2 linked regions of the Danio rerio genome follow. The protein of the gene in region 2 interacts with the protein of the main gene of each other region in a biochemical or structural test. Links are inferred from orthologs where the notes say so. Each region holds a gene or a part of one and is shown on either strand. Other genes may lie near its edges.

Region 1 (3,731 bases), on a different chromosome or scaffold from region 2:
CAGGGCTCTACTGGTTTCCGATATGACTCCATGAAGAAGTGAGAGACTGATGCATATGAACCACTGTAGCCATGCCCCACTGATGCCTGCTTCTTTATGTATTAACATTCTATGTCATGAAGAATTTGACTTCAAATATGCAGAATTTACCAGCAACTAGCATGCCCATGAAAAATGTTTAAAATAAATATAATGGGCTACTTGCATCAGATTTCTTTGTGTAAATAGCTGTTTAAGGATTCATGTTGTCATAAGTGCTGTTTTCAAAAGTATGATTTTTTCTGTAACAAAAGTTAGAGAGAGAAAAAATAATAATAAATAAATAAATGAATGAAAAAGTAAATAAATAAACTTTCTGTTTATTATTATTGCTGTAATTGTTATTTTTACCGTAAAAGATTTTCATCAAACTCACAGACCACATATAAAATCACTTATTTATATGCAGACTAATATCTGTTGTATCTTTTCCATGTTTTAAAGTGAAATTTATGGAACATGTAGAGCTTAAAAACGTTAGAGTAGACCCAGTACTCTAATTTAAATGTCATACTCTCTAAAACATATTTTACTCCACTATTTAAGTCACGTGCTTCGAGTGAGCGTGTATCCAGTATATATTTTGTTCAAACACCAGACACAATATAAATTCGTATTTATAGTACATACTGTCTTTACAAAATGTAACCCACCATAAGCTGGATGAGTAACGATATAAAGTCGTCCCAACCTCTCACACTCCGCTATGTCAAACATAACAAAAACGTCTGAAACGTCTTGTAAAATATATTATAAGTACAGCTGTAACTTACCGTGTCTGGAAGAAGACTGGTGTAATGTACTCATGGACGTGAAGAGGTTCACATTCTGTTTTTCTGTGCGGAAATTTAAGATGCCAATGTGTTTTACAAGCATTATGTCTTAGTTTAAATGCTCTCGGAGAAACGTCGCCCCCTTCTGTTGACTGCGATTGACTGGACTGCACCTTTTTAAGGCACAGACTTTTTTCATATTCTGACTTAGTGATGTCAACAAGATTGAGTATGTACTTAGTGAAGACAAAAATAAAAGAAGGGCCTGATAAAAAGGAAGTCTTTGGAGGTTTGTATGGGATCCACATATTCTCAAAAATATTTAAAAAGAGCTTTTTATTTATGATTATTCTTATTTGTCACAATTACATTTTAGTCCATGAAAAAAAAAAAAAACATGTTCAAATATTGCTAAACATTTCACATTTTTGTTTAAACACTTAAAATGGAAAGTATTTTAACAAACTGTTTAGACTGAGATCTTTATATAAAACTACATTAAACAGTGAGTTCTTTACTTACAGTAGTATTTTGAACCTTGAACTTGATTTTGACAGTGTTATCAAGAAATAAATGGATAGGTAGAATATTCCAATCAGTGTTCAAAATATGCCGGTCTTGTTACGTCTAGTGTACATTTCTACATTTGTGTCATACGCTACTCAATTTGTGTGATTTTCCAAGCATGATGTTAATCCAAAATTACATCCTACTTGGCCAAAGCACATCCACCCTGTACAGTCACACACTTCCTTTCAATGTATGTCATCCAGCCACTTGAGCTGAAAGATTTACTCTTTTTAAACCTGCTCAGCTGAAAACTTCAGGTAAATCTTGTGTTGAGCTCTTCAGGAGAATCCTCCCGAAATGTGGTCAGTGGCACATTTTTCTCATTTTTCCCAAAGCTATAGAATTTACTACTCAGTTAGGTCTAACCCAGGTACAATTTCTTCATCCTGATGTCCCTGAAAATCAGTAAACAGATGATGATTAGACAAAAACAGTATATACACAATATCGGTCAAACATTTGGGCTCATTTGGATTTTTAAATGTTTAAAAAAAAAAACCTTCTCCTGCTCACCAAGGCTGCATTTATGTCATCAAAGTTACAGTACAAATTGTAAAATTGTGAAATGTTAATGCACTATAAAATAACTGTTCAAAAGTAGTTTATCATTTAATTTAATAATTTATTCCAATGATTTTAAAGATGACTTTTAGCGTCATTACTCCAGTGTTCAGAGTTATCTCTGATAATAATTAACATTTCTAATATTAATTGTTATTGTTATTATTATTAACAATAAGATTATTATTAAATACTAATAACAATAAAAGCAATAATGGCTAGAGTAATAATTTCATTTGAAACTACATAAAATAAGTAATAAATAAATATTTATTAAATAAATATTTAACAATTTAACATTTTTTTTACATTTAATAAATGCCACCTTAATGATCATAATAATAAAAAAAACATGAAAAAACTGACTCCAAACTTTTGACCTCTAGTGTACATCATAAATACAATACACAATAATTTCAATATTAATAAATTCATTATGACATTGTACATAGCAACATTTACCCGAGAGTCGTCTGCCTGTAGTAGAATAATTAAATTAGGAGAGTGCAAAACTTCAACTGAAAAGCCAGGCAGCCAGTTTGAAATTTGAGAACCTGAAAAATTTAACAAGTTTAAAAAGTTTAACTACTGTACAAAAGGTAAGACATTTTCCAATAGATACCCAAACACTATTTTGAAGATTGCTAAAAGAGTGACTGTAGAAAAAAAGTGTACAATTCCCCTTTAAAGCAATGATCTCTTAAAAAAACATAGAAAACGAGCCTGTAAAGTACATAAATATACAGCATTAAGTCAAAGGAATACATAGTTTGAATGGTGTGTAAAGTGGAATTTCATTATAGAGCATATTTTATAAATGCATTGACTAGTTTTAAAAGTATTTATTAATTTTACCATTAAAATGAAAAAGTTGACTGTGGTATCTGGTTGGAGGTCTGCTAGGCACATCAGTTGCTCCCAAACTGAACAATGCCCCCTCCTGCTCATTTCCAGTATGACCGCCACTCATATTTACAGACATCCTACATGTAGGACATGACATATTCTGCTCAAGCCAGGAACGCAGACATGACCTGGGAAACAACAAAACATGTTCACTATAGTCGTATAGTCTTAATTAGCAAAAGAACAATGACTGTTCCACAGAAACAATGAATACACGACCCATTCAAATGAACTCGCATTTACCTAATGTCATTCCCTAGGGTGGTAAAGTCATTTATTGGAACAAAGTAAACACATGATCTGTTTCATACTTGTGAAATAGATGGCCACAGGGTAATTTGTATGCTGTGTACATCTTTTCCCAGCAAATAACACATCTGTCATCACGAGATGCCAGCTCTTCCATTGTAGCCATTGAAAACCTGCCAAAAGAAAAGACTTTATGATTTATAAGCTTGTCTTTTCCCATTTTAATACTGCAAATTACCAAAACACAGTGCATAGCAGTTATCTTATTTACACATACAAATAAATTAACATACAGCACAATAATAAAGGGGCGAAACTTACACTGACATTTCAGGAAATTCATGTTTACCATTAAATATTAATCAACTCCTTTCAAAGACTTTGAAGAAACATTAATTAACAATGTGAAAAAGACAATGTTTTCTAATATTTGTTATATTCATATATTAATGAATTAATTTACATTTACAACAGTACAAGTTTGTGTTGGTACTTTGCAGTGATATACACTTTAGTACTACCTATATAAAAAACACGGCAGCAAAATTGCATGTGATTGACATTAAATTTGACATTTCTCTCTTCTGAATGCCCTCCATGTCCACCCCCCCCCCCCAACACACACACACACAC
Region 2 (4,472 bases):
AATATGCTATGCCATTTAATAGACCCTCTAATTTTTGTGGCTTCAGTCATTGCTGGAATACTCTTTTAAATCTGGAAGCATTAACAACTGGTATCGCAATATACATCGTTATCATTCAATATGCAAAATAATTATCAAGATTGCAGTTTTGCCATATCGACCAGCCCTAAGCAACAATCACACAAATAGCATAAAGGGCTGTTCAAACCAAGAATGGATGACAGCCACTACTAGAAAGGTTTACCAACCCTTCAAATTCAATTAGAAGAGAGATGTCCACACAGCAGATTTAACAATAACACCACAGATATACAATATCATTGGAATCACTTTCAGAGAATTTCCTGTCAATGTATGTTAAAAAGCTTGACAGGCAAAGAAAACCCACAAGTTACAAAAGCATGCGCATAAAGTGACATAACAGTAGTGCTTTTAATAACAGAACATTATCTGAAGGCAAAAAAATACATAATTTATTTACTATCCTGCAGTCCATTCAACCAGTGTATGACTGACTTTCTTCAGCCAAGGTTTTGGGGAAAAGGAAACAACTCTTCATCTAATGCTAGTGAACAGGGTTCAACTAAACCATTTGGTAGTTGTATTAAATTTTCAGGAAAAATGCAGTGAGCGTTATTTAAAAAAAAAAAAAGAAACAGAAAAGATATTAACTTACTTAATCAAATTTATTTTTAAATATTTAGAAATTAAACACAAATTTTTCTCTAGAAAAGCCAACCTCTCTCCCAGGACAAAAAGTAAACAAAAAGATGAAACAGTATGCAAAGATAGAACAGTAAATCAAATGACCTTAACTTTCTGTAAACAAGTTCAACTTAAGTTAGCGAGATAGTGTAGCGTACTATACAAACAATAATAATAAATAATAAAAAAAAAACACTCAGCAAACTAACATGTCTGAAACAACTCTGCAGTTGTACTATGCTGTTGCTTGCTACTAAATTGAGTGTCCCTGGCAATACTTTCAATTGACTTTTTAGCAAGACACTCATCACTCAATTGTGCTCACTAATTTGTCTAGTAAGACTGTCACAAAAACGCAGTCACGCGTTTGCTCTGGACGGGAAATAAATGAATTAAAAATATACAAATATATCTTCATATTACAGCCTCTTGTGATTAGCTAATCGCAACATTTCAAATGGTGACTGCAATTAGATTTCGATTAATCACACGGCTCTAGTAGACGCTGCAATGTTTTTACCCAAAACCTTAATTTTTTTTCAACTTAAAGTCTCAAAACATGTTTAATAGCTTGGGGTGGGTAAAAAATTAAAGGTAATTTTTGAGTGATTTCTAAAAAAAACCTCTCTACACATGGCATTAACATCACACAAGTTGTGCCCGCATTTTCCTGGCCCGTATCTTTTACGGGCCAACATTAATGAACGTTGTGAGGCTTTTGTTCTCACGAAGGGTTCACTGAGTTTAGATCAAGGCTGATGAGTTCACCATGCTGGTTCTTCTGAAAGGAGACAACCAAAACAGCCCCTGACCCCCTGAATCAGTCAATCAAGCGCAGGGCCTCTGCAGAACCTGACGCCATGACAGGCCCGGGGTGCCGCTCACCCTGCGACCCTTGGAAAGAAACAAGCGAGTTGCTTTTATGTGTGTGTAAGATGAGTAATTTGGGGGGATGGGGTTGCTTGAGCTGTCTGTGGCAAAGAGACAGCTGTCATGTAGCAGATCTGTTGTTTTGCTTTTTAATTGATCTCATCAGACCCCCAAACTCAGGTAATCTGCCTAGTTTGACCCCTATAACTAACTCACTTCACTGGCTGCACTGCGCAAATGGGGCCCAGTGGAGAAATCCTCCTCTGGTTGAGCTCAGTAAAGCTGACACTCGCGGATCATATTGCTCAGTGTGTGTGTGCTGGGCATAGAACAATAGGAAACACTCATAACGACTCTAATAAGAGCCAATTTCCCGCACAGGTCTATGGTGACAGAGACTATGGGTCTCCAGTTCTCGCTGTACCGGTGAGCTGGTGATCAAACAGCAGCCATCAATTTGTTAGCTTTAGCCTGCTAGCCAGCCTAGAAAAACAAAGGGATTTGATCAACCCGATGCGGGGTAATGGCACACAATATACGGCTTATAAATCTCACCTTTAAACCGTGCGATAATACTATTGGTTTGACGGACAACGATAAGACAGTGAGCAGAAATTGGACCAATGACAGACTTTTCCTCCATTTATAAGATGACTGGTTCTCTTGCGGAAACTGCGTCCGGACACAGATGTCAAAACACGGGGGTAGCCGATCGAGAGCGGCCCCGCCGGTGTGATACGGAAAAAAGTGACTGACACTTATGTTGACATGAATAAACCGAATAACACTAAACAAACGTGCGCGTATTGTTGTTTTAATTATGTTAGAAAAACTCTCATGTTGATATTTTAGCAAGAGTAGTACAAAACTAGCATTTTAAAATAACAAAAGACGACGGGGCTTGCCTTTAGCCGGCTATTTTAGCTGCTAACATGCTAACTAATGCTGTATGATAAACACAGCGCTTGTTAGCGGCTAAACTAGCGGCTAACGGCTAAAATGCTCCGTCTCGGGTGTACTGGCTGGCTAAAACGTTCACCGGTTTGTTAGCCTGCCTTCGCCAACAGCCTTCAAATATTACCTGCTAGCTGTCTCCTGAGTAACAGTGCTGACTGGGGCTCCGTCATGTTTTTATAAGTTATATTCTAGGTCGACAGACGTTCACCTCGACAAGGAGAAAAAATATGTTTGAATTTGCTTGCGCGTCTTCCCGTCTCTGTTCTAGTCCGTTTTGCTCAACATTCTGATGCGGTATGCGCATGCGCTCTGCTCTCCGCGAGGCCGCGGCGAGAGTGTGCTCCAGGGTACTTATGGGCGGAGGATTCGCGCATGTCAGAAACAAATATGCTTGTTTTTTAACAAACGGCGATGGCATTGACTGCGAGATTAATTATGTTATCACTTTAGTGACGTTGTAGGTGAGTCTAATCAATTGTCTCGTTATAGCGAAAATCTGTAATCATACATTTATTATTGCTTTTTCTTTTCGCAAGTGCCATTTTTATTAGAGAAAATTGATTGTTGAGGACAGTACAGTGTCATTCAACCACTAGGAGACAGTACAGCGTAATAATAAAAGTCAAAATGTGTGATAGAGGCGATCCTTATGAGAATCATCCACTTACACACAGCTCTCATAACCGTTCATGACACTTTAACGTCTTGGTTGTGTATTTCTTACTAGCGTGATAAAAACATTTTATTTGAAAACATTTTTTTTCGAAAGACGTCTCTTTTGCTCATCAGGACAAAAGTAAAATAAAAATAAAAACTTTGAAATGCAGTTTTTAGTTAAAACAACTTCTCAATTTGACTTTCAAACAAAAGTCAATTGACTAATTCAAAGTCAATGCAGAAATGTCTGCTGTTATTACTTGTTTCCAGTGTTGCATTATCTTTCAGGGATCAATCTGATAGGCTGATTTGCTGCTGAATATATTTTTTTTCTGATTGTTATCAATGTTCATTTATTTTTATGGAAACAGTCGTATATTAAGAGTACAAGAGTAAGAGCACAATTCAAATCATTTTCACAGATACATTAAATTAATTACATGTGACAGTAAATATATTTAGGTTTCAAAACATTATACTTCAGTTCAATTGTGTGTGTGTGTGTGTGTGTGTGTGTGTATGTGTGTGTGTTTTTTTTTTAAGTTAAAATATCCACTAAAATTAGCAGAAACATTTAGTTCTGAACTGATAAAATGAGAACCAGTAGTAATGATTGAAGACCAAAATAATTCAAGAAGACTGGAGTGACAATGTTTCGAATTACAGAAATAAATACAATTTCTTACATTTTACATCAATTACATTATCAATGAACAGCAAAGACTTTCAAAAACCCTGACAAATCATAATATCCCCAAATATCTGACCTGCAGTGTACATCTTGTCAGAGAAACTGCACAATAAAGACCTTAAACATGATTTTTTTTGTCTTATTTAGTCTTTACTGTGGTTGAATACCGCTGTACTTTCAATGACAACAACTTTCAACTAAATATAAATGGCTTGCAAATGATATTATGTTCTGAATAGTGACTCTAATTTAATTTCAGTTTATTATGTGTCTAACTTCTTGTTTATTTAATCAAAATCCATAAACTTTGTTATTATGGCAACCCACATCAAATAATAATTTATAGTGCATGCAACAACACACATGCAAAACATTTAATCATTATTTGAAATACACGAAAGACATGATGACAGGTCAGTGGTTTTAGGTAAAAATTTTACATATTGTGTATATGTAGATTCATTCATTCATTCATTCATTCATTCATTCATTCATTCATTCATTCATTCATTCATTCGTTCGTTCGTTCATTTATTCATTCATTCATTCATTCATTTTCCTTCAGCTTAGTCCCATTATCCATCAGCAGAAT

Evidence for each region.
Region 1: the proteins of ube2g1a (region 2) and amfrb form a complex in vitro, tested with the Homo sapiens proteins (7 studies listed by BioGRID, with this or other methods). The link is inferred for Danio rerio from reciprocal best matches to the Homo sapiens genes UBE2G1 and AMFR.

What each region holds. Positions count from the first base shown.
Region 1 is NC_133182.1:35,375,575-35,379,305, reverse strand, and holds the end of amfrb (E3 ubiquitin-protein ligase AMFR-like), read right to left. Parts: intron 3,272-3,731; coding exon 3,161-3,271; exon of another isoform or gene 3,093-3,160; intron 2,978-3,092; coding exon 2,799-2,977; intron 2,498-2,798; coding exon 2,406-2,497; intron 1,778-2,405; coding exon 1,730-1,777; 3' UTR 1,121-1,729; downstream 1-1,120. Other genes in the region: dpep2 (dipeptidase 3), read right to left, coding at 813-1,120. UniProt on the Homo sapiens protein: E3 ubiquitin-protein ligase that mediates the polyubiquitination of lysine and cysteine residues on target proteins, such as CD3D, CYP3A4, CFTR, INSIG1, SOAT2/ACAT2 and APOB for proteasomal degradation.
Region 2 is NC_133180.1:31,603,011-31,607,482, reverse strand, and holds the start of ube2g1a (ubiquitin-conjugating enzyme E2 G1a), read right to left. Parts: upstream 2,821-4,472; 5' UTR 2,703-2,820; coding exon 2,657-2,702; exon of another isoform or gene 2,131-2,656; intron 2,059-2,130; exon of another isoform or gene 1-2,058. UniProt on the Homo sapiens protein: Accepts ubiquitin from the E1 complex and catalyzes its covalent attachment to other proteins. In vitro catalyzes 'Lys-48'-, as well as 'Lys-63'-linked polyubiquitination. May be involved in degradation of muscle-specific proteins.